4 linked regions of the Tamandua tetradactyla genome follow. The protein of the gene in region 2 binds, or shares a complex with, the protein of the main gene of each other region. Links are inferred from orthologs where the notes say so. Each region holds a gene or a part of one and is shown on either strand. Other genes may lie near its edges. The genes, in order: MYO7A, USH1C, CDHR5 and CDHR2.

Region 1 (6,904 bases), about 25 Mb from region 2:
CAGGCCAGGGTGACGGTTCTCTGGCCAGGGAGGACTTGGGAGTCACTTTGGACCCTTCTGCCTGCCAGTGCATCAGGGAGCTGAGGTCATTGGAATCCTTCCTTCCTTCAGGCCATCTGTGTGGACTGGCATTGTGCTGAGCTCAGATCTAGGCCTGGGGGATGCAGAGACCCAGACACAGCTTCCGCTCTGGAGCTGTCTGCAGACTGGCAGGGAGGCAGACACAAAGGCTCTGGTCATGACACACGTTGCGCAGGAGATAATCAGTAGATTGGTGAGGGGGTGTTGGGGGCGCCTGGTCTTTCAGGCAAGGGAGGGAGGGCCTAAGCCCTGAGCTGATGGATGAACTGGAGGCAAGTGTGTGCGTTTGTGTGTGTGTGTGTGTGTGTGTGTGTGTGTGTGCGCGCGCACGCTGGGGGAGGGGGTGTGGAAAGAGAAGGATTTGGGGGTGGGTGCTGGTGGATGTGGGGAGACCAGAGCAGGCTGTGGAGGGAGCCCTGGCGGATGCTGGCAGCTTGAGCTAGGAAGTTGGGGGTGTTGGGTGAGGAGAAACGGGATACATTCAGGAAGCAGAGCATATAGGACTCCATGCTAGATTGGGCTGATGGGGAAGGGAGGATGAGGGCAAAATAAGTGAGCCAGGATGACCTCAGTGTGGTACCTTTATGCAGCGGGTGTGAAGAGATGGTAGCTGTTGTCATGATGTTTGGAGACCACCCCCACTCCCCACCTCCTACCACTCTGCCCCCATCCCTGGGATTGTGCTCAGACCTGTATCCTGTGCTTGTCCCTGCAGCTTGCTGGCCATGGCCTTGGGAACAAGCATGTCCCCCTCTTGGTCTCATTTTCCCCATCCGGGCAGGGCTGGCCCCACTTGCCTCACCCAGCTGGCAAAGGTTAGGACATGAGGTGATGGTGGAGGGGTAGGTTCTAAGTAGGACCAGCAGGTGGAAGTCCACTCCAGAGCAACTCCTGTCAGGGGTTTTCAGGGTTGTCTGGTCAGAGAGAACTGGCCCCAGCAGAGGCTGAGCCTCAGGCCAACATGCTCCGCTCTGGCTGCCTGGGGCACCCTGCTCTCTGAGGGACAGTAGCCTCCTGGTCTCCAGCTGCCACTGCTGACTCCTGGGGCCTCGAGCACCCTGCCCCTGGGCTGCAGCTGCTTTGCTCCACTGTGAGGTGGAACCTCATGGCGCCCCCTCCCCACCCTGCCTAAGGAGAATATTATCCTGGCATTTTAAGGATGAGGAATAGAAGGCTCAGAGAGGTTGGGCTTGCCTAAGTCAGACAGCCAGAAATAGGCCAAGCTGACTCCAAAGCTCACGCCTTTCTACCACTATCAAAGCATGGCCAGGCCGGGGGTGGGGTGGGTTGGGGCAAGTTGTCACGTAATGGCCAGTGAAGAGCCAGACCTGTTACCTGACCCCACCTCCATTCCCAGCACCCCACTGCCCACCTGCAGCCCAGGTACAGAGGCTGGGTGCCTTGCCTTGCTCCATGGGATCGCAGTTGGGATGTTGTGCCTGTGACCAGCAGGTGGCGCTGCTGGGCCTCCAACCCCTTTCTGGGCTGCGGCAGGAGGTCCCTTTCTTGCAGACACATCCCCATTACAGAGCCTGGGGGTACTAGAGTGTGTCCCTCTACCTGGCCTAGGGCTGTCCCTGGAGAGGACTGAGTGGGGACAGCTTCCAGGTGTGGTTGTAGGCAAAGGGCGGTAATGAGAAAGTGCTGGGTCTCAGTAAGGAGGCCTCCACGTTACTGTCTTTGCCAGTGCTAATAACAAACGCTAATTGTGTAGTCCCCCCTTCTTTTTTTTTTTAAAAGTTATGTATTTAAAAATTTTTATTGTAATAACACATATGCAACCTAAATGGTCCATTGCAACCACTTTCAATTGTACAATTTTAAAATATTTTTATTAGATTCTATTCCAACGTATGGATGATTTCAATGTGCTTCCTTAATTCACTCTGTTAAGGCATCTGGGTTGGCTTCAGGTTTTAAATAATATTAGAAATGCTGTGTGGAGCAACCAGCTAGAAACAGATTTAAAATATATAAATCTTAAGAAAAATTCATAGAAAGGACCATGTCATAAAGTTTTTATAATTTTTGAATTTCAACTAATGTGGGCTTTTAGAAATGTTGTGTACATTTATTTATTAACCTCTGTATATATGAATACCCATTTCCAAGTGTTCATAATTGTGGGTATGATAATTAAAAGTACAGGCTTCTATTTAATAAGAAAAATAATCCAATACTTCATTACTTCATCAAACTTTGGTTATTTAAATGCTAAGACATGCAAATAATTTTTATGTTTTGTGGTCTGATCATACATTTATTTCATAAACCATATCCATATAGTCTTTGTCAAATTTCCTACTAGCATTTTTTGTTTATTCACGAAGATTTATATGTTTCATTTTATAACCTATTTCAGAAGAATATTAACTCTGGGTCTATGTGGCTCAAACATCTTTTTCATTTTATGTTTTTGGTACAAAATTTTTTTCTCAGAGCTTTAATAGACTTTATTTTAGGGTAGCTTTAGATTTACAGAAAATTATGCAGAATATACAGAGTTCCCATTTCCCCCCGCAACAGTTTCCTCTATTAAAAACATTTTGCATTAGTGTGATACATTTGTTACAATTGATGAACCAATATTGATACATTATTTGTAACTAAAGTCTAGTTGACAGTAAAGTTTACTCTTTCTGCTACACAGTTCTATGGGTTTTGACAAATATAATGTCATGTATCCAGCATTACAATGTCACACAGAACAGTTTCACTGCCCTATAATGTCCTGCATGCCACCTACCCATCCTGGACCACCTCTCTCTGAGCTCCTGAAAACCACTGCTGTTTTTACTATCTCTACAGTTTTTCCTTTTCCAGGATGTCATATAATTGGAATCATACATATGTAACTTTTCCAGACTGGCTTTTTTCCGTTTGTAATATGCATTTAAGATTCTTCCATGTCTTTTTGTAGCTTGATAGCTTTTTTTTTTTCTTAATCGAGGAATACTACTACATTGTATGGTTGTACCACAGTTTGTTTAGCCGTTCATATTGAAGGACATTTTGGTTGCTTCCATCTTGGGGCAATTATGAATAAAGGTGCCATAAATATTCATGTGCGACTTTTATGTGGACATAAGTTTTCAACTCATTCGAGTAAATATCCTCTCTCCCTTCCCTTCCCTTATAAATCACATATTTCCCTTTAATTTGTATGTGTCCCTGTTACATGCAGGGTTGCTCCAAGTCAGCTCCTTTGGCAAAGTCTCCTGGGTGATTACACGACAGCACGTACCCACTCCCAGAACAGGTTGGGGGGTATTATTTGATTTGAGGAGCTTTCGGGATACCCATCTGAGGGCAGTCCTTGGCAAGTGGGTCTGGGGCAGGGATTTAAAGGGAGAGACGCGTGCACAGGGAGGGGGGAGAAGGGGCCAAAATACGGGGTCTTGCTCAGCACCCTACCTTCTGCCATGTCCTGCCTGATCATTTTCCTCTCAGTCTCAAGCAGCCATTTAACAGAAGAGAAAAAACAGGCTCAGAGAAGGACAGAGGCTGAGATGCCAACAAATCAGTGACCATGTCAGGATCAGAATGCGGCTTCCAGCCCAGGTTGAGTGGGAGCAGGTGGTGTTAGTGCATACTTCAGGAGGTCACTGAGGCCAGGACGGTGGCCCCTGGTCCAGGTCACATGCTGGTCAGCACCCAGGTAGAGAGAGCCCCCGTGTCCCTGTTTCCTCGCGGGCCAGCGGGTGCTCACACAGAGCCCTGGACAGCCTCTGGAAGTTCTGGTCCCAGCACAGCCCGCCCCCAAGCTGATGTCATGGGTCCCAGGCCTCGGAGGGCCCCCCTTTGGCTCCGCCTCCTGGGAGAAGGCTCTGGACTGGAGAGGAGAGAGCGGGCAGTGCTGGCAGGACAGCTGCCCTGGACAGGAGAGAAGGGGAGACACTGAAAGGGAGACGGAGATGCAGAGACACATGGAGACCCAGCAAGACAGAGAGACATCCAGTGAGACAGTGAAAAACTGAAAGACCTGGAGAGACATCCAGAGAGAACCTGGGAGCAAGAAAGAAGAAGGGAAGAAGGTGTCTGCAGATTGGCCTGAACTCATGACCCCAGCTTCCTGAGCCCTGCACGCAGGTGGCAGCTGAAAGGGTGCGGCGGGGGCCCAGGTAAGGATGAACTGCCCTCTGCCCTGGGCACTGGGAGTAAGGTTTGCTCAGACCCTGCAGCAGCAGAAAGATGCAGGGGTCCGGCTGCTGCTGGATTCCGTGCCCCGCAGCCATTTGTTCCCAAGCTTCCTGCCGCACTTGGTGGTGGTGTGTGTGTGTGTTGGGGGCGGGGATTGAAAATGTCCTGAGCCTGGAAGGATGGCAGTTAGGACCCTGGAGAAGGAAGAAACAAGGAACATGTAAAACCAGGCACGGCACATAAATACAGATCGGTGTCTCCTGTTGTCAATTTGAAATGCAGTTAACTTATGCACAGTTTAGTTCATATTTTTAGAAAAAAAAAATGTCTTGTAGCTTTTTCCTTCTGTATGGCCCTTAAAATTATACGCCCTCACTGCCCTCCTAACCCTTGCAGCCCTGGCTCTGTCATGAAATCATCGGTTCTGACCCCAGCTGTGGCAGCTCCTGCTGGGGCCGATGCCAGCACCACAGCCGGGCGCTTCAGACACATCTCCCCACGGCAGCTGCCCGCGGGCCCTGCTGCACTCACCTCCCTGCCAGGTGCCCAGGCAGGGGGCAGGCCTCTGGAAGGATTGTGTCCCTGCTGTGTCCCGGAGTTCCAGAGCAGGGGTCAGGGCTCAGGTGTCAGCAGTTCCATAGGCAGAAGATCAAATGCCCCAGAGCCTCTGAATGGGCCCTGGTGAAAAATTGATGCTCCTCTCGGGGGGGGGGGCGGGGGGGGGGGCGGAGGGGCCCCGAGCCAGGGTCCACGGCCATCTGCCTTTGACGGCCACTCTCAGCCCCACAGGACTCTGGTCCTGGTCTGGTGCTGGACGAGGCTGGCGAGGCAGAGATGACTCGGACCCACCCAGACAACATAGCACATCAAAGCAGAGCTAGGATAGAGGGAAATGCAGGATAGAGGGAAATGCAGGGGCTCCTGGCAGCTGTGGGTGATCTGGGAGGGCTTCCAGGGCAGGTTCCATCTGAGCTGAGTCATGAGATATAGATGGTATTCATTGGTCAGAATTCCAGGCAGAGGGGATGGTGTATGCAAAGGCCAGGAGGTATGAAAAGAGCTAGCATATTTCAGGAACGAGGAGTTGCTAAGGATGGCCCAAGGGCAGGGGTGGGGAAGAAAGGAAGCAGTAAGAGGCAAGACAGACAGCAGCAGGGACCAGATCGTGCAGAGCCTTAGAAGGGGCCAGGGCTCTCCGGTTAGCTCATCTGGACAGCCCACACTCCTGGAGTCCAGAACAGGAACAAGGCCTTGCAATTCTTTATGGTTTGGTGCAGTGCCAGGACACATCTAAGACTATGGAGGGCTGATAATTAAAACATATTGGTAGAGTCCCTTGAGGATCTGAAGGGGGAAAATATAATATACAGAACCAGGTAAACTCTCCCATCTGAGAAACCCCGGGTACCCTCCCAGCCAGTGGAAAATAGTCCAAGCTCTAGATTTTGAGGCTTGCTGTTATGAAACTTATTACTGTAGGGGAGAAGCTAAGACTTCTCATGAGGAGGCATAAGAGTTGCTTCCAGGAAGCCTCTTTGTTGCTAGATGTGGCCTTTTTCTCCCTAAACCCAACTCTGCAAGGAAACTTGTTACACTGCCTGCTATGCGGGACAAGCCACTCAGGGGTGAGAGTTTCCCTGACAACGTGGGGCGTGACTCCCGAGGATGAATCTGGCCCTGGCACTGTGGGATCGACAATGCCTTCTTGACCAAAAGGGGGAAGAGAAATGTAATAAAACAACATCAGTGGCCAAGAGAGATCAAATGGAGTTGAGCGGCTATCCTGGAGGCTACTCTTATGCAAGCTTCAGTTCCAGTTAGATAAAACTCAGTTCCATGGTTTGCTAAACCCCACTCAACAGCACTCCTGTTGACTCTTAAGAACACCTAGGGCTCGAACTGAGACTCGGTAAAGGTTTCATGCACTAGGCTTGCCTTCCTGGAACATATAATCCCCAGAGGGGTCCTAGGTCAGATAAATCCTGAAACTCGGAGGGACCAGCCTCTCCAGGATTATCAATTAATTATACCCTCCATCCTTCAGTGTGGACACCCCTTCTCAACATGAAAAATTGAGAACAGACATTCCCCAAAGATCCCTATAGAATGGGAGAAGGATTAGAGGAGAAGGAGGAGGTTAAGAGAGAAAATGAGGTTTAAGAAATGAATATAACTGCTGAATCACTACATTAATATTCCTTCTAGGCTCTAGTGTTTTGGAGCAGCTAGAAGGAAAAATATGAGATGATGAAATGGTAGCTCATGAAAAACACTGGGATCCTTTCTGTAACTACGTGTTGAAGGGTGTTTTGAAAATTACTGCTTTTTACTTTCTTTGTTCTGTATATATGTTATATTTTATAATAAAAAATGTTAAAGTAAAAAAGAGGCTGGGGGTCTTAGGCTCTCCACCCTGAGGGCAGTGGGGACTCTGGAAGGGTTTTAGGCAGGGTGTGCCCTGAGCAGGTCATGCTCAGACCATGAGCTTCCCCCCAAGCCAGGCTGCCCTACTCCTGGGGCAGCTCTGAGCTGGAAGTCTGGAAACCAAGCCTTAGGCCTGAATTTGCTGCACCTTGCTGTGTGACCTTGAACAAGTCTCAGTCCTTCTCTGGGCCCCTTTGCTTACATGTCCAGGTCAGGGGCTGGACTTGCTACTTGCTAGGAGTCTTCTGGGAGTCTCTGA
Region 2 (7,072 bases):
GTCAAACAGCGGCAGACGGCTGGGCTCGTTGATGACCAGCTTCAGGTCTCCCACCAGCACCACCACGTCCATGGTCCTGCAGAAACACGGGGGGCGCGTGGAGCCAAGCCCCTGGCTATGATCCCTGGGAGCCACGGTGCAGCTCCAGCCTAGAGCCTCACTGCTGGGCCTAGGTCTGGGAATCTCTGTTTGTCCTTGGAGTTTTGTTCTTTCGTGTATGTAGCACAAGGAAAAGCAGCAACAAGGGATTGTTAACCCAGTTTGCAGATGAAATGGAGCCAGGATTCAAACTTAGCTCTGCCTAGTTCTGAAGCTCAGGATCTCTGCAGAAGGCAAGCCTCTGTGTGAGACGTTGCCACCCCTCTCGTACCCTCACCTCCGCTTCTGATGCTAAGTTCTGTAAATTCTACACTTGCAATATCTCTCACTTCTTCACTCTGTTCAGACCCTTGATATCTCTGCCTGCTCATCTCCAGTTGCCTACTGACTAGCTCACTCTCATCTAATCTTTTCTAAATGTAAGTCACTCCATTTCTCAAACCCTTCCATGGTTCCCAAAGAGAGCAACAGAACGAAGTCTATTCTCCTTGGCAGGTTCAGGACCTTCCACGACCTGTCTCGGTGGAACTTCTCCAGTCTCTGTGTACTCCAAGTTCTATTCCCCTTGATCACTTATCGTTTCCCATTTGCACCCTGGACTTTCATGCCTCTACCCCTTTGCTCATGCTGATGCCACATCCTCGAATGCCCTTTGCTGATATTCCATCTATCAAAATCCTTATTTCTTGAAACCTAGCTCAAATCTTCCTGGTCCTTCCCTCCACAGTTGGAAGTGAAAATTCTGCAGCGTGTGGCTTCTAACTCTCCTGAGCAGTTGTTCCATTGTAACTTATATTAGACGTCTTGGCATATGTGGCATCTAAAGCACACCCCTCAAATGACTCAAGGAAAGAAAGAGCTTTCTTACCAATTTCTGAACCGGCATGGTGCCCAGAAAGTGACAAGAGCTCATTCATAAATGTATGGTGAATGCATCAAAAAGCAAGCGGGTGATTTTAGACCTCTGTCGCAGGGGCTGGGGCCGGCTTGCATGTTTTGTTCCATCTCAGAACTGACCACACTCTGCTGAACCTAACTGGCTGCTTGACAGTCTCTCCAATCAGATTGTGACAACCTGAACTAGGGATTGGAGACACACTTGTTTGAGCAAGACAAGCTCAAAGTCAAGCGCAATGTATTCACTGAGATGACTGAATGGTATGTCCATTTGATTCCCAGGGGCACTGAGAAGCTCAGTGCCTCCCTGAGTTGCCGAGGAAAAGACATCCTCTTGTCCCAGAACAACCCTTCCCAGGACGTCCTGAAGGCAGAGATACCCAGGGAGGTCCACGGGGCTGGACCCAGCACACTCACTGGTGGTACATCCGCAGCACGTCATAGAGATAGTCCTTCTCTGCATCATTTTCAATCAGAAAATCCACCTAGAAATCCAAGGGCAGAATTATAGCTCCAGGCTCAGCATCCCCATTCCAGCTCTCCCAGAAGGGACCTCCCCAGCATCTCCTCTTGGCTGGGGTTATGAGGAGAGGAGGGGAGTCATGCACCAGGCTGCCCCTCCAACTACAAAACCTCAGACCTATGCAGGCCACCCCAGTGTGGCCACAGGGGTGAGTTTGCACATCCAGATGTAGCCAGGCTAAGCCCCGTCCACAGATAGGATTACCAACACACACATAGGGATGCACACACATTTACACATATGTGAACTCCCACGTGACAGCAGTGTGCCCCCATGGGCATGCTGCCATTCACTCCCATGTCTGTGTCCAGGACTGGCAGTGCCAGTGTCAGCTCCCCTGTCGGAAAGAAGCCCCTTGTCTTACCTGATAGTGGCTGTAGTGCCGGACAAACGCTTTCAGAAAGGATTTAGGCCATTCACTCAGATAGCACATCCCACCCACAGGAGGCACCCTACCACTGCGCTCCCCTGTGACCCCAATGCCAGGGGAATGCTGTCCTGTCCTGGACTCGGCTGGGTTGGCCCTGGATCTGTCCACTGGTCATCCTCCTGGCCACTCCTTACCCCTCCCTGGGCCCCTGCACATCCCCCCATATGGGGAGAGTCAGGTTACAGCACTTCAACTTTGTTGACGTCAATGGCTGGGACTCCAAGGTCAGGTTCAGGTGCTCTTTTCATTAGCACCTCAATTCTGGGGCAGCTGGTGGCCCAAGAGACCTGAATTCCCTCCCTGGGAGAGCTCCGTGGGAATCTCAATCCATTGCACCCTTGGGCACTCTCTTCAGCCCAAGACTGAGAAATAGGGCACAGTGGAGGCTGGCGGGGGGTCTTGGGTTCCTCCCCCAGCCTCCATGCTCATTGGCATAGTCTAGGCCCTAAGCCCCTCACTGGGGGAAGCTGCCCCTCGAAGCTGTGAGCGTCCATCTGGGTGGCCCTCAGAGGAAGGCCAGGGTAGCCTTAGCTCTATCTGTGGGGAGCTCATGGGTTCTGAAGGATTGGGGGCACAGAGAACACACTGGGCCAAACCCTTGGGATTTCTGACACGAGCAGAGGGCGTAGAATGCATATGTCTCCCACCTGGCAGCGCTCTTCACTCTAAAATCAGACTGAGCAGTTCATCAAAGAGAGAAACAGCCTAGGATGCTTGGGCTTCAACTGCTACAAAAATTCACCCCACCTGCTCCAAAAAGGGCACTCCTACCCTCTCCCTGCCTCACCAGACTACCCAAGGGTCTTCTAAACAGCTTGAAGATGGGGCAGTAAAGCATCTGCTGGAGTTGGTGGTACTAAATCTTGGGTGGTAGCCTGGGCTCTTGTATACACCATAAAATGGGCCCTTCTGTCCATCTCCATGAGGACCCAGCTTGGAATGCTCTACCCACTCTGCTGGACCTACATGAGAGGGGTGGGCAGCCACAGGGACAGCCCGGGCTGCCCAAGCTTGGCTATGATGGAGGAATCTAAGCAGAGAAAGTTTTGAACTCCCCTAGGAGAAATACAGATTTTTAAAAATATGGATTAGCAAGTGACATATCACTCTCTTGTTCAATAGCTTCTCATTCCACTTAAAACACAAATTCAAACTTGACTTACCAAAGTTTAACTTCATCCCCCTCCACACTCCCCTAGCTACTTGGCCTCCTTTCAGTTCCTCCCCAAGGCCAAATTCTCTCCTGCCATATGGCCTTGGCATACACCGTTCCTTCTTCCTGGATTGTTTACCCCTTTCCCTACATGGCTGGCCAACTTCCCAAAGAGCTCTTCTCCACCCAACTACCTAAAAAGAACTAGCTCCCATACCCTGGGGGTTTTCAATTCCTTTATAGCATCAATCACAATTTGTACTTAAAAGTTTGTTTGTTTATTGGTTTGTCTTCTTCTTATAATGGGAGGGTGGAGTCTGTTTCATTCTAATTTCTTAGAGCCTAGAATATAGTAAGTGGTCAATAAATAAGTAATGAATGAATTTGTCCATCTTCCTGCCTCCTGGTATGCCCAGAAAAGTCGGATGGGAGTGAACGAATCATGGGAAGAGGAGGAAAAGGGAAATAAAGTTTGCAGAGTCCCTGTGAGCCTCCACGGGGTGGCACTATGAGATTTTCATGAGCTTTATCCTGCTCACTGTATCACACCAGCCCTGTGAGGTGTATGCTCACACCATTTTGCAAATGAGGAAACTGAGGCTTAGAGTGGGTAAGTCAACTGACCCAAGATTCCATATTCCATTTCAAGAAGCAGAGCAAATATCTATGTTTTCTCTGCTGCATCACACAGTGTGTGGCTCAAGCCTTTCAGGGAAAAATACACCCAAGACTGCTTTAGGCCAAAATTTGAAAACCTTTGCTTTCAGAAAGTTATCCTCACTTCTCTCCTCTGCACTATTAAGAAAATCCTTTTGGTTTGGTCCACATTGAGCAAGAATACAGAATATCTTTTGAATGACACTTTGAATAGCAAATGTTCTGCTCTCTTAGGGAAGCATGAAAATCCCATTTTCCTTGGTTGGAATGAGGATACTCCTGACCAAAGAACTTCTTGCTAACTCTAGTTGTGTTCAGTTACATTAGAAAAAGGATAGGAGATGGAATCTCTCATTGGCTGATGCCTTAGGACTGAAGTTCTCTTCCATCCCTCTTTGCAGAAATGCACGCATAGCATCATTAGGTTTATGAAGTGATGAGTTGTCCTGGGTAGATAGTAGAAGACTAAGGAAATTTCCAACCTTAGGTTCTAGGATTCTGTTTTTCTGTCATCTCTGGGCCAAGCACAGATTGCTTGGAGATGGTGTTGATGGAAAAAAGCCTGTTTCTGTGGGCTCAGGCTCCTGGCCTTTGTGGGAAGCCCTCCAAGGCTGCCCATACCATCCAGAGGCCCCCACCTAGAAATTGCATCCTACCAGTGTCCTTCTGAGGCAACCTGTAGAGTTCAATTCTCCAGCCTGTTGTCCCCCCACTCTCCCCTGGTTAAGCTCACTCATGATGCGGTCTTCAATCCTACCCTAATCCTTCTCCAGAGTCATCTCCTTCACATCCCACATGGAACTTTGACTGCAGCCAAACAGACCCTTCCCTGGACACACTGAACTTTCCTTTCCCCATATTCACACTAAACATCCGATCTACCTACACAAATCCCTACCTATCCATTAAAAATACATATTTATATATTATAACAGCTAGGAAAACATATTTGATTTATGTAGAATGCTCCTTAAATATGAATCTAAGTGATAAGCTATCAAAATGTTTCTTACATAGGAGATCCATCAAATTAGGCAGGGTTGTGATTCTGATCATTCCCTCCCTCCCCCCGCTACCACAGAAATGTCTCCAAAGAGACTCAGAAATAATTCACTGTTTACTTCTCTTCCCATAGCTGAGAGAAAACACACACCACATTCACTGCATTGCTAAACCTGAGAAGGATGGAAGTTTTTCTGGAAGCTTGAACTTGCAGTAACATCGCCACCATGATTCAAACTTCACTTTTTAAATATTAAAAAAAATTATACTGTATCCCTTCCTCTTGGCATCTGGATTCTCACAAACTCCCCAAGAGGGTTTGCCTGACTCAGCTCTAGGGCGCTTTGATCCATTTTCCCAACACTTTGCACTCAGCTTCCATGAAAAGCACCTGGCACACAGCAGGGATTCAAAATTCATTCCTCCCTGCACTTGTCCTTGATCTTGGCTTCCCTTTGCACAGAGGTTCACAGTTCTCAGTGGTGTCTGCTGAGTGATGATGAACTCCAATTGCTCTAGGCTAGAGCCTTCCACCCATCTCTTGGTCATTCCTGGGTCACTACCTTTCCATCACTCTTCAGCACACATTGGTTGTGGCCTCCTGGATGTCTCCAATCAGTCCCAGATCCACACATGATAGACTCTCCTCCCTCCGCCCATCTGAACACTGCCCTCATTTAAGGTTCCCCCTTCTAAAGTCTCTCCTGACCATGCCCAGCCCAGAGCCTGCTCACCTGCCTTCAGGCCCAAAGTTCATTTTGCCTGGCCCAACTCATTCTGATCAGACTGCACTTAGGTACACCACGTCTGTCTGGGGAACTTTATACATGTTATCTTTAATTTCCCAATGAACCCTCTGAGGTGGATATTATGATCTCCATTTGATAGAAGAAGAAATAGAGTCTCAGAAAAGAGACTGTCTGACCTATGCCTCCCGGCTCCAAAACCCTTTCTCTTCCCAAGCCACTGCATGGTATCCGCTTACCATATATAATTGTCTTGTATGCACTTGTCCAATATACGTTTCTTGAGCACACACTGTGTGAATGACACCCTGTCTTCTTTCTCCAACTAGACTTAGAAAGATTTTCCTTTTCTTGGATCCGCCTTGATACTGGGTACAAAAAGCCTACACGGTCTATACCTAGTTGTTGGGGGTCTCTTTGTCATATCCCCACCCACCTCCAATTCCCGTCCAGCTTGTATTGGATGCCCTCAGTCCAGCATGGCTTTCCCTATTGATGGTCAACTGACTCTGTGCTATCAGCCTGTACTGGGGGTGGGGGAGGGGTGGAGGCAGAGGGAGGGAGGACTGTGTCTCACACCTCCATCCTCACATGGCTTGTGACCCTTGTCTGCGCATCAGAGGCAAATTCTGGGTTTGGCCTTGGGGCCCTCTGTAGCCTCATCTCCCTGCATACCCTGCCCTTCAGGACAGCCACCCAGCGGAACCACACACTTAACTCATGCATTTAACCACACAGTTAACACAAATTCAACTCCATCTGTGCACCCAGCCAAAGGAAGGGGAAAGAGAGCAAGAGTGATTTAAATAATGCATGTCGTTCCACTAGATGAATGTCTCCCCTCCTCGGGCTGTTGTGATGATTAAATGAGTTAATATATGGAAAGCACTTAAGACACTGCCCAGGACATTTCAAGGGCTCCACAGTGCATGCTGGACCTTCATCCTTTGTGCTCTTGGACCTCTCTCCAGCCTTCTCCCCAGTGCGCTATGTTCCAGGATGCTTCACCTGTACCTTCTGGCTTCCTCCTGCATTCAGCCAGGGAGGACCACAAGCAAAAGCTGAGAAAGGATTGGGGGACTTTCACCCCAGCTCCCCCTCTGCTGGACCACACCATGGCAGGTTTCTCCACCGAAAGCTGGAGCTCGTGTCTGGGCATCTTCCATTCTCCCCCTATAGCCTAATCCTCAGTTCTGGTAACCCCTCCTCCCTCCGCCCCTTCAGAACGCAGCTTCCTGCTGCTGCCTGTCCCTGGGTGTGTTGTCATCCTTTTTTGGTTCATACATCCCTGCCCTTCTCTGTGCATGTTCACCCTCGTGTAACTCTCTCCTGATGAGTCGCTTCCTTCCTGTCCCAACCCTGGCTGATGTGAAACCTTGGCTACCGGCAGTGGCAATAACGGTAGCATCCCCTCTCTGTGGAATCCCTGCCTCGAAGACTCACCTCCGACCCCACCTCGTCCAGGTCAAGTCTTTCCTTAGACATGGCCGCAGAGCCGGGCATGTTGTTCTCTGAGCCCACACCAGCATTCTGTTCCCTCTGTGGCCAGGGGACCCACAAGCTCT
Region 3 (6,892 bases), on a different chromosome or scaffold from region 2:
TTTATGATCTAACGGGACATTAAATAATTAGAACAGGCAGACTCACAGAATTATGGACTAGAATATGGGTTATAAGGGGTGGTGTGTGGACAGCGTGGGGGTCCAGGCTGAAAGCGCGTTTCGCGGATGGGCGGTGCTGATGGCAGCCCAGCATTGTGGGTGTAATTAACAGCCCTGAATTATATATTTGAAGGCGGTTAAAAGGGGGACGTTTTAGGTTGTATATGTTGCTAAAACAAAATGTTTAGAGAATCCATGGAGCTGTACAACACAAAGAGCAAACCCTAAGCCAGGGACTAGTTAATGGTCAATTATAAAACTCTCATCAGTTGTAACTAATGTGCCACACCAATGCAAGGTTCCCAGGATTTTATGCATGATTATCCTTTAAACCCTCAATTTCTCTAATAAAAAACATTCATATGGAATGGCAGAAGGGCCTGGAGGTCCTATACACTTTTGAAAAAGAAAAAAAAAAAAGGAGGACTTACACTTCCTAATTTCAATACTTACTACAGAATCACAGTCATTAAAACATACGGTACAGGCGTAAGGACAGACATACAGCCAGGCCGACCGGAGTCCAGCGGCCAGTTGGCTTTCCATAGGGGAGCCAAGTCCTTCCGGGGAGAGAAGAGCCCCTCTAACTGCGCTGGGACACGCGGAATTTCCCTGCCATAGAAGCTGTGTGGACGCGACCTCCCCTCCCCACAGAAAGAACTTTGGTTTCCTGAGTTTACTTGGATTTGTGCTTACGGACCTCACAAGAACCGGTTCTCAGAAGTCTAATCTTAATTAATCCTGCATGGACCCCGCATTTTTCTCGGTGACCCTCACCTTTCCAGCCTTAAATAGGGCTCTGGTCTCTCCCATCTCGGAAAATAAAGATGTAAAACCCGGTGATACCGTTTTAATCCGCCCTCCGTGCAGCTCTCTGGTGCCTGCGTCCAGCCTGCACCCGGCCTCACCCCGTGGCCCCCCCCTCGCTCCCTACGGCCTCCTGCGGCGGCCCCTCCGCAACGTCCGGGCCTTCCTACTCCTTCTCCGTCCAGCCCCGACCCCCTCCCCGCCCCCGGCGCCTCCCACCCCCCACCCACCCCTCCCGGACCCCTTCGTCCCCCTAGCAAGCTGTCCGGCCGCCCCCACCCCTCCTCCAGGCCCGCCCGCTCGCGGGACAGTGGCCGCTGGGCTCGGCGCCCGCCTCCTGAGGGTGCTGGGCGCAGCTGGCGATGCTTTGCACGTGCTGCTCCGTCTTCCTGCGCGAACCGCGCCCAGGAGGCGCCCTCCCCATCCCGAAGCCTCCCTGGTGCCCGCGGGCCGAGGGTCCCGGTTCCCGCCCCCCCTGCACCGCCCTCGCCCCCGGCTCGCCAAGGGGCGCCGACGAGGCCGGGCGACAGCTGGGGGGGCGGCCCTGACCTTCCCGCGCGATCAATGGGGCGCGGCCCGGGCTGCTCGGAGCCAGGGCGGAAGCCCGCGCCCCCCGGCGCCGCCAACCCTCCCGTCCCGCCGCCTTAAAAGGGCCGCGCTGGGCTCCGGCCGCGGCCGCGAGCGCTCAGCACCGCCCCGGCGCGCCGCGCTATGGGGTCCCCGGCCGCCGCCGCGCTCCTGCTGCTGCTGCTGCTGCTGCTGGGCCGCCCAGCCGCGCGCCCCGCACCCCCCAGGTGGGTGCCGCCCCTCGCCCCCGCTCCGTGCCGGTGCCCCGGACCGGGTCCTGACCCCTCCCGCCCCCGCAGGGCCCCGCGCCACTCGGACGGGACGTTCACGAGCGAGCTGAGCCGCCTGCGGGAGGGCGCACGGCTGCAGCGGCTGCTCAGCGGCCTGGTGGGAAAGCGCAGGTGGGGCCGCGGCGCGGGGCGCGTCCGCGAGGGGGCGGCCCCGCGTGGCTGCAGCGGCCCCGAGTTCAGCGGGGCCCCACCCAAGTCCGGAACTAATTCTGATTCTTTCTGGGGGTCGGGGCTGCAGCGTGCCGTACCGGGCCCCGCGCGCCCATCCCGCAGGCCTGGTGAGCTCCTCTCCCGCCTCCCAGGACCCCGCGCCCTGCGGGGCTCACCCCGCACCCCTCGACCTGTCCTCGGTCCCCTGTAGGACCCTTCTGTGGCAGCAACTGGACCTGGCAGTGGACAGGTGGGCTGGGAAGGTAAACACAGTCGGTGCTAGTGAAGCCCGGTTTCCCCAGGGCTGTGTGTAGGGGGTGGGGGGTGGGGTCTGCAGCCTCCCGTCCCCTGCACTGGTTCATCTCTGCAGGACGCCCCTGAGGGACCCCTGGGCCGGGCCTGGCCCTCTTCCAGACCCAGGGCTGGGATCAGGATTTTGGAGCCAGCGACCGGGCAGCTAAAGGAGCCGTGAGGTCCGGATGGCGGAGGCAGGACGTTCTCCCCGGCGGCAGACAGGACGGGCCGGCCGGGCGTCGGGCGGGGCGGGGCCTGTGCTGACCAATCAATAAAGGAAGAATTCGAACCCTGGCTCCGGAGCCCACCCCGCGCGGCGCCTGGGTCCCCGGGGCAGCCCCAGCCCTAGGCAGTGCTGACCCCTCTTCTTCCCGGTTCCTTCTTCCTTCTCGCCAGCATCAGCGCCACCTCCCTCCCCTCCGGGAGCTCCCCTACCGGGAGTCCCCTACGCACCCCCAGCCGTCCACTAGGCAGTGCAGGGGTAGGAGGCTGCGGACGCCCCCTCTCAGGGGCCATGTGAGCAGGAGTGGAAGGAGTGAGGGGCTCGCTGGGGGCTGAGAGGCTGTGGGGCCGAGGGGACCGGCTGGTGGTCCCCGCGCCGGCCTGCTGATGCCTCCCAGCCTGGGCGCCGGGCCGGCCATGATGCCTCCTGGGGACAGGGTCACAAAGCAGCGTCAGGGCCAGGAGCAGGCAGTGACCCCATCAGCAAAGAGAAAACCGAGTGCTGCTGGGTTAGGGAGCAGCTGGTACGAGGCCTGGGGGCGTGAGCTCCATCTCTCCCCTCTTCTTGACAACTCCCCTCCCTGTTTCACCTCATGGTCTCTCCACAGCTGCTGACCTCAGGACTTGGGGAGGGGGGATTTGATGGCCAAGGAGGGACGGCAGCAGGTGGGGGGGAGACCCAGGGTCCCTCCCCAGGAGCTCAGCTGTCCTGTCCCATCGCTCTGTCCCCTGCAGAGCCCACCTAGAAGCAGCTGAGTTGTTTCTGGCACTGGAGGTGTAGGAACTCAGAGCCTTTCCCCCTCAACCTGGGGAGCTGGACTGCCACTGCGACCTCAGGAACTTTGAGAGAGACCTTAGGAGACTAGAGACAAGTAGAGGGCAGGCTGGGGACTGGGGACAGGGGACACACCAAACTCAGAGGACAAAGGCATGGCTGCTGCCCTTGCTCCTGCCCCAGCCCCAGCCCCCGCCCCTGCCCCAGCCCCAGCCCCTGCCCCAGCCCCAGCCCCTGCCCCTGCCCCAGCCCAGGCCCAGCTCCTGCCCCTGCCCCAGTCCCAGCCCAGGCCCAGCTCCTGCCCCTGCCCCAGCCCCTGCCCGAGCCCCTGCCCCTGCCCCAGCCCCTGCCCCAGCCCCTGCCCCAGCCCCAGCCCCTGCTCCTGCTCCAGCCCCAGCCCCTGCCGAGCCCCCGCCCCCGCCCCCGTCCCCGCCCAGGCCCAGCTCCTGCGAGCAGGTGTGGATCCCCTTTCCCCCACTCTGTGTCCCGGCGTCTGTGCACTGTCTTCTCCCCGGAGGCCCCCGCCCCCCCTGCCCGGCACGAGGCCCCACTGGAACTGGCTGGCGGAACCGCCTTGGCGGAGACTGGAAGTAAAGGGCCATAAACCGGGGCGGCGCCTGGCAGGGGCGAAGGTCGCCGAGGCTGCGCCAGCTCAGGCCGCCCAGGGTTGGCGCCAGGCACCACCGGGACCCTCCTGCGGGGCGCGCCATGGGCGCTGGGGTCCTGCTGCTGCCGCTGCTGGCGGGGCTGCTGGGCGGAGCCCCTGGCGTCGGGGCCCAGGGTACGGCGGGGTCCCGGGTGGCCCGGAGCGGGGGTCCGAAGAGGCCGGGCGCGGGGTGCGAGGCGCGGGGTTCCAGGGTCCGAGGTAGCGGCGCGTGGGGGTCGGGCGTCCCGGGCGGCGGGGCGCGGGGTTCCGGGGTCGGGGGCGGGGAGGCGCGGGGTCCGGGGTCTGCGGCGGCAGGGCGCGGGGGTCCGGGCACCCAGCCAGAGCACCCACCCTGCACTCCCATCGCGCAGCCTGCTCGGTGAATCAGACGTTCTTCGAAATCGAGGAGAACAGGAATTGGACGGAGCCCCTGGTGGACATCTCCGTCCCCCCGGACCAACAGGTGACCCTGGGGCCCTCTTCCACCCCGGGCGCATTTCAGATCATGGAGGACCGGCTGTTTCTCACCGTGACCCTGGATTACGAGGTGCCGGTCCAGGCAGGGCAGGGCGAGCCCCTGGGGGGCCTCCATGGAGTGCCCGCGGGTGACCCCCGCCCTCTGGCCCGCAGACGCAGCCGCTGCTGCAGGCGCACCTGGAGTGCAAGAGGGGGGGCGCCGTGGTAAGTGCCGCCGGGCTGGGCTGGGGTCGCCCCGCGGTGGGGAGCGGCCCCCAGCCCCGCCCCGCCCCCCATCCCCCGCCCCGACCTCCCTGGAGCCCACTGCCCCCGCATGGCCTTCAGGACCCGCCTGTCCCGACGCCCGGCCCCGCCCCCCCGCCTCCGCGGGCCCCTCTGCTCGTCACCCTCTTCCTGGACCTGCGCCCCCCCTCCTCGGGGGCTTTGACGAGGCCCCCCGCAGCCCCTGACCCTGCTTTAGTTATTTTTTAACCTTTTCTTGGGATCATTTCAAAGGTAGGAAGTTGAGCGGAGGTAGGAGCCCGGCTCCGCCCTCCCGCCTCCCCAGGTCCCCCGCGAGCTGCGCCCCCCACGGCCCGCTCCCGGGCACCTGCCCACACCGCGCCCGCCCGCAGGTGACGCAGCTGCGCGTGTTCGTGTCGGTGCTGGACGTCAACGACAACGCGCCGGTCTTCCCCTTCCCCAACACGAGCGCGAACGTCAGCGAGGTGAGCGGGGCGGGGGTAGAGGGCGCGGGGCCGGGCGGGGCGCAGGGCGGGCGGCCGGGTCGTGCGCGCATGGCGCGGGAACGCGGCCCTTTCTCGCCAGGACGCGAAAGTGGGCTCCATTGTCATCCCGGAGACAGACCTGGAGGCCAAGGACCCTGACAAAGACGACATCTTGTTCTACACCCTCCAGGAAGAGACCCTGGTCCGTGCTGCCCACCCCCCCTCCGGCCCCCCCACTCCCCCCCACCTCTTGACTCCCCCCCACCCCCACCGACTCCCCCACAAGCTGCTCTGCCTCCTCCCAGAGTCTCAGGCTGCGCCCCCCCCCCCCCGCAGGGTGCCAGTCACTTCTTCTCCCTGGTGGGTGCCAACCGCCCCGCCCTGAGGCTGGACCAGCCACTGGACTTCGACAGGTGGCCGGCCATGACGTTCCGGCTGCTGGTGCGGGTGAGCAGCCCCCCACCTCCCGTGCCCCCACTGAGCCCCAGCCCCAGGCACCCGGCCTGAGCTGCGGGGACGCTGTTACAGGACACCCCGGAGGAGGGCGCCCTGCCCGGCCACACCGCTATGGCCACGCTGACCCTGAAGGTCCTGCCTGCCGACCTGAGGCCCCCCTGGTTCCTGCCCTGCGTCTATGCGGATGCCCACGTCTGCCTGCAGGCCCAGTACCAGGGCGCCGTGCCCACAGGGCAGCAGCTGGTACAGCGGGCAGCGCTGGCCGGGTGTGCACAGTGGCTCCCGTCAGCGGGCCAGGGTCAGGGCTGCGACCATCTCCATGGTGGTCATTTTAAAACAAATATACAGGGCCCTTCGTGAGGCGTCTCCCCAGCCAGGCAGTGGCAGGGGGTTGGGGAGCGGCATGGGGGGGTCACCAGCTCAGCCCCCACCATCGCTCTGTGGCCCCTGCAGCCCGACCCTCTCACCCTGCGTCCGGGACCCATCTACGCGGTGGACGGGGACCGGGGCCTCAACCAGCCCATCGTCTACAGCATTGTGGACGGTGAGTGGCCCCCACCTCGGCAGAGGGCACCCCGGCCTACCTGCCAGGGTCCGGCTGAGCCCGCACCCCCCACCCCCCAGAAAACAGCGATGGGATATTCACCATCAACAGGACGTCGGGGAACCTCACCATGGCCAGGGGCGCCCCCAGACCCATGACCTTTCACCTACTAGTCAAGGTGCGGTGGTGCGGGCGGGGCGGGGGCTCCCGGTGTCCCTCCTGCACTGACCCCCGCACTGCTGTCCCCAGGGCGAGCAGGCCGATGGCGCCCGCTACTCTGTGACACAGGTCACCGTGGAGGCCCACGCCACCGCTGGGAGCCCACCCTACTTCCCCCACGGCCTGTACCGCGGCCGCGTGGCGCTCGGCGCCGCAACTGGCGAGATGGTCAGGGACGCCAGCGACCCGGCCCGGCCCCTGGCGGTCCAGGCCCAGGACCCAGACTTCCCGGTAGGTAGCCCAGCTGCGGGGGCGCCCGGCCCAAAGCCCCCACTTGCCTGTCCGGCCGCGTGGGCGTTGGGGTTCCAGGAGTCACGAGCCTGTTTCCAGGGCATCAACTCGGCCATCGTGTACAGAGTGACCAACAGCTCAGAGTTCAGGATGCAGGGGGAGCTGGTGCTGACCGCGGCCCCGCTGGCGGCGGCCGGCCACCTCTACGCCCAGGTGAGGTGCGGGTGGGCGGACAGGGGGGCCCGGTGGGAACTGAGAAGAGACCAACCCCCTTCTGCCGCAGGTTGAGGCCAGGAACACGGTGACTTTGGGCACAGCGACCACCGTCATTGAGGTTCAGGTGTGGGAACCAGAGACTGCCCCCACAGGCAGGCCCCCAGGTGAGCCCCCACCCCCAGGAGGCTTTCAGGTGAGCCCCCCGAGTCCCCTCTCCCCACCCCCGGCAGC
Region 4 (7,480 bases), on a different chromosome or scaffold from region 2:
TAACTTCCCCCTGTTTTTCTGATGTGGAAGCTAAGGCTCAGAGAGGGAGAGTGGCTTGCCCCAGGTCACACAGCCAGGAAGACTGAAGTGAGCCTAGGTCTACCTGGCTGCAAACCCTGCCTGTGTGTTGGAGTGGGAGGGCTGAGAAGGGGTACTTAAAGGAATCCCTAGGGAAGGGTTTGGAAGAGGGAGGTTCTGACCAGCTATCCCAGAACAGAGAGGAAATGGAGGCTGGTGCTCCCAGAGAGGACAGGCACAGGTGGAAGTGACCGGTCAGCTCTCAATTCAATAAAACATATTCCATGGAATGGAGGTTATGGTAGATGATCTCCCCATCACTGGAAGTGTGCAAATCATGGCAGGACAGGTATTGGGATGGGGTGGTTTTTAGAGGGAATTCGTGCCTTGAAGGCAGATTCAGGGGTCTCGGGGTGTGGGGAGGAGTTGGTATCACGAGTCCCAAGTTCTCTAAAGGGCAGAAGGCTCTGAGTCTCTCCAACTCAGGGGCTGTTCATCGTCTGGTCCCTTGGTTGTAAAACAGAGTGATGAAAGGACTTTGCACCCTGCAAAGCCCTGGCAATGTGAAGGGATGACTGGGAAGATAAGGAGGGATTGAATGCACTCACAGCAAAGAGCCCAGACACCCCAGTTTACTTCTGACACAGTATATTATGGCGGGGTGGAGGTTGGGGGGTCTCCATGCTGCAGATGAAGAAATGGGGGCTCAGAGAAGGAGTGACTCACCCCCCGGGTCATACAGCTAGTCAGGACAAGCTGATTTCATTTTGATCAGTTTCTGAACACACAGAATGACAGTCAATGAAGGGTTTTCCAGATCAAACATTTAAAAATACACACAGCTAAGAAAGTGGCTGCAAAGGAACCCTGATGAGTATCTGAATTGCTGCCTCATGTCTGCGGACGGATGCGTTGCTCTGTAATGTGTCCTGTGCTAAGTGCTTTACACTATCTAATTAGTCTGGACAACAAACATATATGAGTCAGGTTCTGCCATTCTGTCCATTTTACAGATGAGGACACTGAGGCTCAGGGAGAGGAAGTACCACTCCCAAGGCTGCTAAGTGGTGGGGAAGGGATTAGGACCCAGATTGCCTGAATTCACATTCTGGACTCTTAGCCCCATTTTCTGTCTGGTGGTCCACTCCCTTGAAGATGACTTTGGGCCCGGACCTGTTACTCTGACCTGAGTCATTTCAGCCCAGAGCCCAGCAAGCTTCGCAGGCTGCCCTGGGCCAGGTGGGCAGGCACCCCTTGACATGGGCAGGGCCACACCTGGCCACACCTGGCCCATCCAGGTGCTGTCCAAAGGTCTGGGCAGGCCAGGAGCAGTGGCTCAGCGCTGTTGGCCCCGAGGTTTGGGGTCTGTCCTACCCTGAGGCTGGGCAGCTGGGGTAGAGCAGGAGCCTGGAGCCTGGGGTGGGGTCATCTTCTCTTTCTACCAGTTAGTCACCAACAATAACTAGCACCTGCTTCCTCCAGAGAGGAGTCTGGCGGCTGGGGTAGGGAAGCCCGAGGCAAGAACAGCGGCACAGCCAAGGGCTCATATCCTGGTTCTGTCTCTTGCAGAGAGTCTCGCCTTTAGGTGGTGATCTAAGCTGTCTGGTCCTCTATTTTCCCATCTGTAATCATCCCTAGGGTTGTTGGGAGCATTAAATGAGATCCTATTAGTGCTAATAACACAGCCACCACCACTACCCCCACAAATAGTAGCATTCACAGACACCCTTGTGTTTGGCATTGTACTAAGGACTAAAAATGCCTGACTTCTCTGAAGTAGGTGCCATATGTTACTCTACCTGCAATTTATAAACAAGGAAACTGAGTCTTAGAGGGGTTATGTAACTTGTTCAGCCACAAATGAATCTAGCCCTCTGACTCCTGAGCCTGATCTTTTCACCACTATATTTTATTATTAGTGTCAAGTGTTGTCCATCCTCCCCCAGCATCCTCTCCTTGGAGACACACAGGAGGAAACACTTCTCATGTATCAGGATTTGGAATTGCACCCTACCTCCCAGAGCCTGGCTATAGATGTATATATGTTTTTAAATGTGTGGATGTGGGCGTTAATGGATCCGATTTCCCTCTTTGCCACGCCTACTGGGAAGCTCCAACCCAAATCATGGGCCACCTCTGGCACCTACCCAGAACTTAAAGGCAGATGTTTTATAGACTAATTGAGGCTTACGTGTCCCTTATTTATCTCACTTACTTTTGCTTTTTTTAGTTTCCTCGCCTTTTTAAAGCATGTGGTAGCATATATATTTTGATCATTTGTTTCAAATTTGAGGGGTTGAGGAACAAACACCCTGGCATGTAGTAACTCCCTGACATATAACTCTCAAATGTGAGTCAATGGACACTTGCCCTAAGAAAGCTATGGATTGCATACTCTGGGAGCCCAGACAGGTGGCAGGGATCTGTGCTGTGTGCCAGGCCCCATGCCAAGAGCCATATGTCAATTGTTTGATTTTATCTTCACCAACCACTTCATGAAGTAGGCAGTATTATTTTTTTTTATCTGAGTTAGGGATGGGGATGTCTGATATGTTACAGTGAAGAGTAGGTGCTCACTCAAAAGGTTTAGTAGCTGGGAAATAACCAAGTCAAGTTCAAACTTTGTCCTTTCCCAATGTAACCCCCCTGTGCCCCTTCCTTAGCACCTGGGTGGGGCGATATAGGGACTGGGGACTTCCATCCTCAAGGGAATGGTGGTCAAGCAGAAACCACTTCAATCAGATCTAGAAGAAAATAGAATGTATTGGTTTAGTAACTGAAGAGCTTGAGGGTCGATAGCTTCAGGCATGGCTGCATCCAGGGGTCGCACAAAGTCAGGAGAAACCAGTGACTCTCCATTTCTTAGCTCTGCTTCACGCAGTCTTTGACTATTTCTCAATCAGACTTTACCCTCCTGGTGGTAGGAAAGTCATTAGAATCCCCAGAGTCATTTTCTTACAACTTAGAAATTCCAGGGTGGAGGGCAGGGGAGGTTGGTCTCATTCTCAACTGTTTCAACCAAAGTCCTTTCTTGGAGTTCCATTAATTCTTTTTGTTTTGGGGGTGGGTGAAATTCACATAACATACAATGAACTATTTCAAAAGTCTACAATTCATTGGTATTTCATATACTGACAATGTTGCACAACTAGAAGGGCTCTCCAGTTTCAAAATTTTTTTGCCTCCCCATTAAAACACCTCTAAGGAATCACTTTGGGGGGGAGGGGTTATCATTTTCTAAAGACTTTTTATTATAAACTATAACATATATACAAAGAAAAGAAAGAGTTTTCAAAGTACATTTTTAACAAGTAGTTACAGAACAGATTCCAAAGTTTGTTATGGGTTACCATTCCACTAGTTCACATTTTTGCCTTCTGGCTGCTCCAAAACACTGGAGGCTAGAAGAAATATCGATATAGTGATTCAGCAGTCATGCTCATTTGTTAGACCCTATTTTCTCTGTTATAACGCCTCCTCTTTTGATCCTTCTCCCCATCTATAGGGATTTGGGGGCACTTCCTGTTCTTTGTGCGGATGAGACCCACCATAGGTTCTTATTGGCCCAGCCTTGCATCGGGTGCCCAAACCTGGCCAATCACAGTGACCAAAGGGATGCTGTGCTCTGACTGGCTGGACATGGGTCACATGACCGCCAGAGGTGGGGTGGAGAAAGGAGGGGTGGGGAGGCCCCCCAGAGGAAAACTTGGGTGCTGTTATCAGGGGGAGTGAGAATTGGTGCTGGCAGGCAGAGCATTAGGTGCTCCCTGCTAGGGAGTAGGGAAAACCTTCTGGGGGAGGGGGAGGCCTCCAGCCAGGGCAGCAATGAGGGGGGCCCTGGGAAGGTGAGGAGAGGCTGGGTAAGGGGTGGGGTTCCTCCGCCTCCCCTTTCCACGTGGCGGGTCCCTGGAGCTGGCGCAGCCATTTGTCCATCAGGGATAATTATAAGGGTACCTGCCTCTCCCTGGTGATAAGGGGAGTCAGTGAGAGCGTGATGTAAAGCACACCAAAGGTGCTCAATAAATGCAGACTCCCACTGCTGGAACACACAAGGACATCTCCCCCCAGGGCTTCCCTGGAGCTTGGGGGGTGGGAGGATGAAGTCAAAGTGTATTTGCAGCTCTTGGTCTGTTTTGGGACACCTGGGGCGCACTGAGCACCCGTCCTGGGCTGACTACCCCCAGTCCACCCGCACAGGTAGTGGTGGGGGAACCAGCACCTCAGGATCCAAACAGGAGGGTTTCAAAGGGAGAGGGGCAGTAACCTCTCTAAGCCATCCAGCCAGAAAGGGGCAGAAGGCTCGGGCTTCTGAGCTTGTCCCTAGGGCCCCCTCTGTCCTTTGTCAACCCAGGGGTCCTTGGGCCACTGTGGCAGGAGTAGAAGGAATTGGGGGCCTGGTACCTCAGGGAGGGTAGATACCCTGAGAAGACCTCAAGTCAAAGAGGGTGGATAATGACAGCTGTCGCAGCATTCACTGAGCCAGGCGTTAACATGCTTGATTGCTTCCCCATGCATCACGTGTCACTGAGGACTCTTGTGATTGAGAGGGGACTACGGGACCTGACTGTCACACTCGGACCATCCTCCTCCCAACTTCCTGCCTGACCCGGGGTTGGGCCTCAGTCCCGCCTCTAGCCCCCTCCTCAATTGGGTCGGGTCTCCTGAGGCATCAGCCCCACTCCAGGAGGTGCGGTCCCCGGCAGGGTTAATGATTGCCCAGGGAGGCGGGTATAGTGCCAAAGTCTGCCAGCTGAGCACCTGTGCCTGCCAGTGCCCACCTGCCGCCTCTGCGGCCCCTTCCGGGGCACAGGTAGGATCTCCGCAGCTCGACTGGGGCACGGTGGGGTCTCCTGGTCAGGGGGAGGTAGGCTGGGGCCAGTGGGGACCAACGTGAGCTTTGGGTGTCTTTCAGTGTCCCCTGGCAGCTGGGTGGGAGCCCCGGCCAGAGGGAGCCATTGCCCACCTAGGGTCTCAGGTTCTGCAAGGTGGGGTTAATGATACCTCCTTCCCAGGGTTCTGATGGCGCCCTTTCCTTCCAACTGCTTGGGTCACTGGACTCATGGAGGGTCCCGGATGAAGGGAAGTGGGGTTACCCCAAGGTCCCTTCTGGAGGAAGCTCCAGGCCAGGACTAAACTCTGGAATCACACCCACTGGGCTCAGGCCCCTTCCTGGGCCTGGCGCATCGCCTCACTATGGCGTCTGAGACAGAGACTCAGCTGACAGCCGGGGCCAGGCCTAGGCCACCTCCCTGAAGCAGGAACTTGAGGGATAGGGGCACCAAGTACAAAGCAGAGACTCAATCGACATTAAGGTCCAGCTGATTGAAACAGGCCGTGGCCGGTATGTGGACTTTGTGGTCCTTGTCATCGTCCCCTTCTCAGCAAGGGAAACTGAGGCACAGAGAGGAGAAAGGGCTTGCCTGGGGTTGCACGGCAGGTAAGTGAAAAGCTGGACTCTGAACCCAGGGCCATTTGACTCTTTGTGTGCTGGATGCAGCAGCCTGGGGGATGGGCACTGTAGGGGACCACAGTGGCAGGAAACCCAGCTCCCTCCCGGGTCCCCCATCCCTGCCACAGGCCACACTGGCTGGGTTTGTGCCTGGCTTGCCCAGAGACTCCTGGCTTTGGAGACAGGCTGGATTGAACACCTCTGTCCCTTGCTCTTAGGCTACCGTTTCTGACTTTCTTTGTGCCCCAGTTTCCTCACTGGAAACCCAGAAATATAATTCCTACCTGGGCAACAGTTTTGGGAAATCAGTGAGAAAATGGAAGTGAAAGTGTGCAAGGAGGAGGCACATCCCTCTCTGCCCTCCCGGAGGCTCTGGGCAGGCCTGGTGGGGGGGGGGGGGGGGGCGTCTCATTCCCAGAGATTCCAGATTGTAATAGGAGGTCTTAGAGCCACACAGTATTTAGACTGTGGTTGACATCACCTCTCAGCTGAGACTGAGGCACCAGCACTTCCCTGGGCAGGCAGGGCTGCACCTTGGGCCCCGTGGTCAGGGTGTGTCTGCCCCTTCCAAGCCAGATACGGTTCCCAGGAGTCTGAATGCCTCAGGCAGACAGGGTGGGCAACGGGTGGGCGCCCAGAAGCCACCCTGATTTCACCCCTGTGTTCATTTCGGAAGCTACTCTTTGAAAGCGGGGAGTGGGGTGGGAATTGGGGATAGGAAACTGTCATCTCTAGAACGTAGATTGTCCCCATGTTTTAGAGGGGCAGACCGAGAGGCAGAGTGGTGGGCAGTGACTGGGGGCTGGAATTGATGTGCCTGTCACTTCAGTCCCAGACCTTGGCCTGAGGAGGAGAAAGGGGTCCCTCAGAGCTCCCTGGGGGGTGGCAGAGACCTGGGAAAGGGGCTTCCATGGCTTTGTCAAGACCTTTCCCCAGGACCAGTCCATGGTGAATTCCATTCACTGATTTTTCGTTCCTAGTTACTCTGTCCTTAAGCCTGCTGGGGAAGGGAGGTGGGGATGAACAAGGCAGGTCTAGCACTGCGCCTTGCTGGGTTGAACCTTACAGGATGGAAAGAATTTGCACACATGTGGGAGGCAAGGGAAGGCGTTCTGGGCAGAGGAACGGAACACGCAAATGCAAGGAGGGAGGAAAGTGTGGGGTGTGGATGAGCACAGGAGCTTTAGACGCCACTGGGCCACAGTGGGGAAAGGAGAGAAGCTTGGGAAAGAGAGGCCAGGGTCCGTGAGACTCTTGCTGGCCAGGCTGAGAGCAGTAGTGTGTCCTGTTGCCAGTGGGAGCTATGGGAAGGTTTGAGCTTTGGGGATGACTCGGTCCAATGAGGTTAGAAGGCTCATTGGGCTAGTTCGTCCTTATACCTCCCCCAGCCCACGTGGGCGCTGTACGTTTTTTCTCAAGTGACTGAACACAAGGGATGACGCTTCTGGACTGTAGAACTTTGGCCTCATTATGATTAAATGAGCATGTTTGGGAAAAGGCTCTCTGACAAAGAGGAGGCAAGATAGCCTGGAATCCAGGTGGTATGGGAAAGAGGCAGGAATGCCGCAAGAGAAAACCCTGGGCTGGGAGTCAGAAGGGATGGGGTATTAGTCCCCTGATTTGCTGTAACAAACTGGCCCTAGCACAGACTGGTGACTTAAAACAACATAGGTTTCTGCTCTCCTGGTTCTAGAAGCTAGAAGCCCTGGAATCAAGGTGTCGGCAGTACTGTGCTCTCCGAGGTTTCTGAGGAAAAATCTTTCTCTGGCTCTTCCAGCCCCTGGTGGGTCCTGACATTCCTTGGTTCATGGCAGCTTCACTCCAACCTGCCTCTGTCATCACATAGCTGTCTTCTCTTCATGTGTCTGTCTGTGTCTCCTCTCCTCTTCTTATAAGGACACTAGTCATATTGGATTAGGGGCTTACCCTACTCCATTGTGATTTCGTATTAATTAATTCAGCCCAGAGCACGAGGTCTTCCAGTTCCATCTCTGACTGGTTTGGTGGCATTGG

The links.
Region 1: the proteins of USH1C (region 2) and MYO7A are in contact, whole or in part, in a crystal structure (PDB 5MV9), measured with the Homo sapiens proteins. The link is inferred for Tamandua tetradactyla from reciprocal best matches to the Homo sapiens genes USH1C and MYO7A. Residues at the interface, in NP_001284693.1 of Homo sapiens: Glu450, Pro456, Ile457, Val461, Val462, Ser463, Tyr466, Glu467, Lys479, Gly480, Pro522, Tyr526, Asp527, Asp528, Glu529, Leu530, Thr531, Phe532, Phe533; in NP_000251.3 of Homo sapiens: Phe1946, Val1953, Ala1976, Lys1995, Lys1996, Trp1998, Gln2017, Pro2020, Lys2021, Arg2024, Tyr2026, Ser2112, Ala2113, Phe2114, Phe2115, Glu2116, Val2117, Lys2118, Ile2128, Ser2161, Gly2163, Asn2164, Thr2165, Tyr2166, His2168, Leu2181, Glu2183, Thr2184, Ser2185, Leu2186.
Region 3: USH1C (region 2) and CDHR5 share a complex: the UniProt entries of both Homo sapiens proteins name them as parts of the IMAC/intermicrovillar adhesion complex. The link is inferred for Tamandua tetradactyla from reciprocal best matches to the Homo sapiens genes USH1C and CDHR5.
Region 4: USH1C (region 2) and CDHR2 share a complex: the UniProt entries of both Homo sapiens proteins name them as parts of the IMAC/intermicrovillar adhesion complex. The link is inferred for Tamandua tetradactyla from reciprocal best matches to the Homo sapiens genes USH1C and CDHR2.

The regions. Positions count from the first base shown.
Region 1 is NC_135334.1:67,926,729-67,933,632, reverse strand, and holds the start of MYO7A (unconventional myosin-VIIa), read left to right. Parts: upstream 1-3,892; 5' UTR 3,893-4,202; intron 4,203-6,904. UniProt on the Homo sapiens protein: Myosins are actin-based motor molecules with ATPase activity. Unconventional myosins serve in intracellular movements. Their highly divergent tails bind to membranous compartments, which are then moved relative to actin filaments.
Region 2 is NC_135334.1:93,048,038-93,055,109, forward strand, and holds the start of USH1C (harmonin), read right to left. Parts: upstream 3,019-7,072; 5' UTR 1,953-3,018; coding exon 1,884-1,952; intron 1,482-1,883; coding exon 1,414-1,481; intron 77-1,413; coding exon 1-76. UniProt on the Homo sapiens protein: Anchoring/scaffolding protein that is a part of the functional network formed by USH1C, USH1G, CDH23 and MYO7A that mediates mechanotransduction in cochlear hair cells. Required for normal development and maintenance of cochlear hair cell bundles.
Region 3 is NC_135335.1:485,083-491,974, reverse strand, and holds the start of CDHR5 (cadherin-related family member 5), read left to right. Parts: upstream 1-3,873; coding exon 3,874-3,946; intron 3,947-4,182; coding exon 4,183-4,358; intron 4,359-4,441; coding exon 4,442-4,492; intron 4,493-4,902; coding exon 4,903-4,995; intron 4,996-5,095; coding exon 5,096-5,197; intron 5,198-5,331; coding exon 5,332-5,442; intron 5,443-5,523; coding exon 5,524-5,694; intron 5,695-5,904; coding exon 5,905-5,995; intron 5,996-6,075; coding exon 6,076-6,173; intron 6,174-6,244; coding exon 6,245-6,445; intron 6,446-6,544; coding exon 6,545-6,658; intron 6,659-6,728; coding exon 6,729-6,825; intron 6,826-6,892. UniProt on the Homo sapiens protein: Intermicrovillar adhesion molecule that forms, via its extracellular domain, calcium-dependent heterophilic complexes with CDHR2 on adjacent microvilli. Thereby, controls the packing of microvilli at the apical membrane of epithelial cells.
Region 4 is NC_135346.1:58,007,356-58,014,835, forward strand, and holds the start of CDHR2 (cadherin-related family member 2), read left to right. Parts: upstream 1-4,461; 5' UTR 4,462-4,726; coding exon 4,727-4,828; exon of another isoform or gene 4,829-4,882; intron 4,883-4,920; exon of another isoform or gene 4,921-5,455; intron 5,456-7,480. UniProt on the Homo sapiens protein: Intermicrovillar adhesion molecule that forms, via its extracellular domain, calcium-dependent heterophilic complexes with CDHR5 on adjacent microvilli. Thereby, controls the packing of microvilli at the apical membrane of epithelial cells.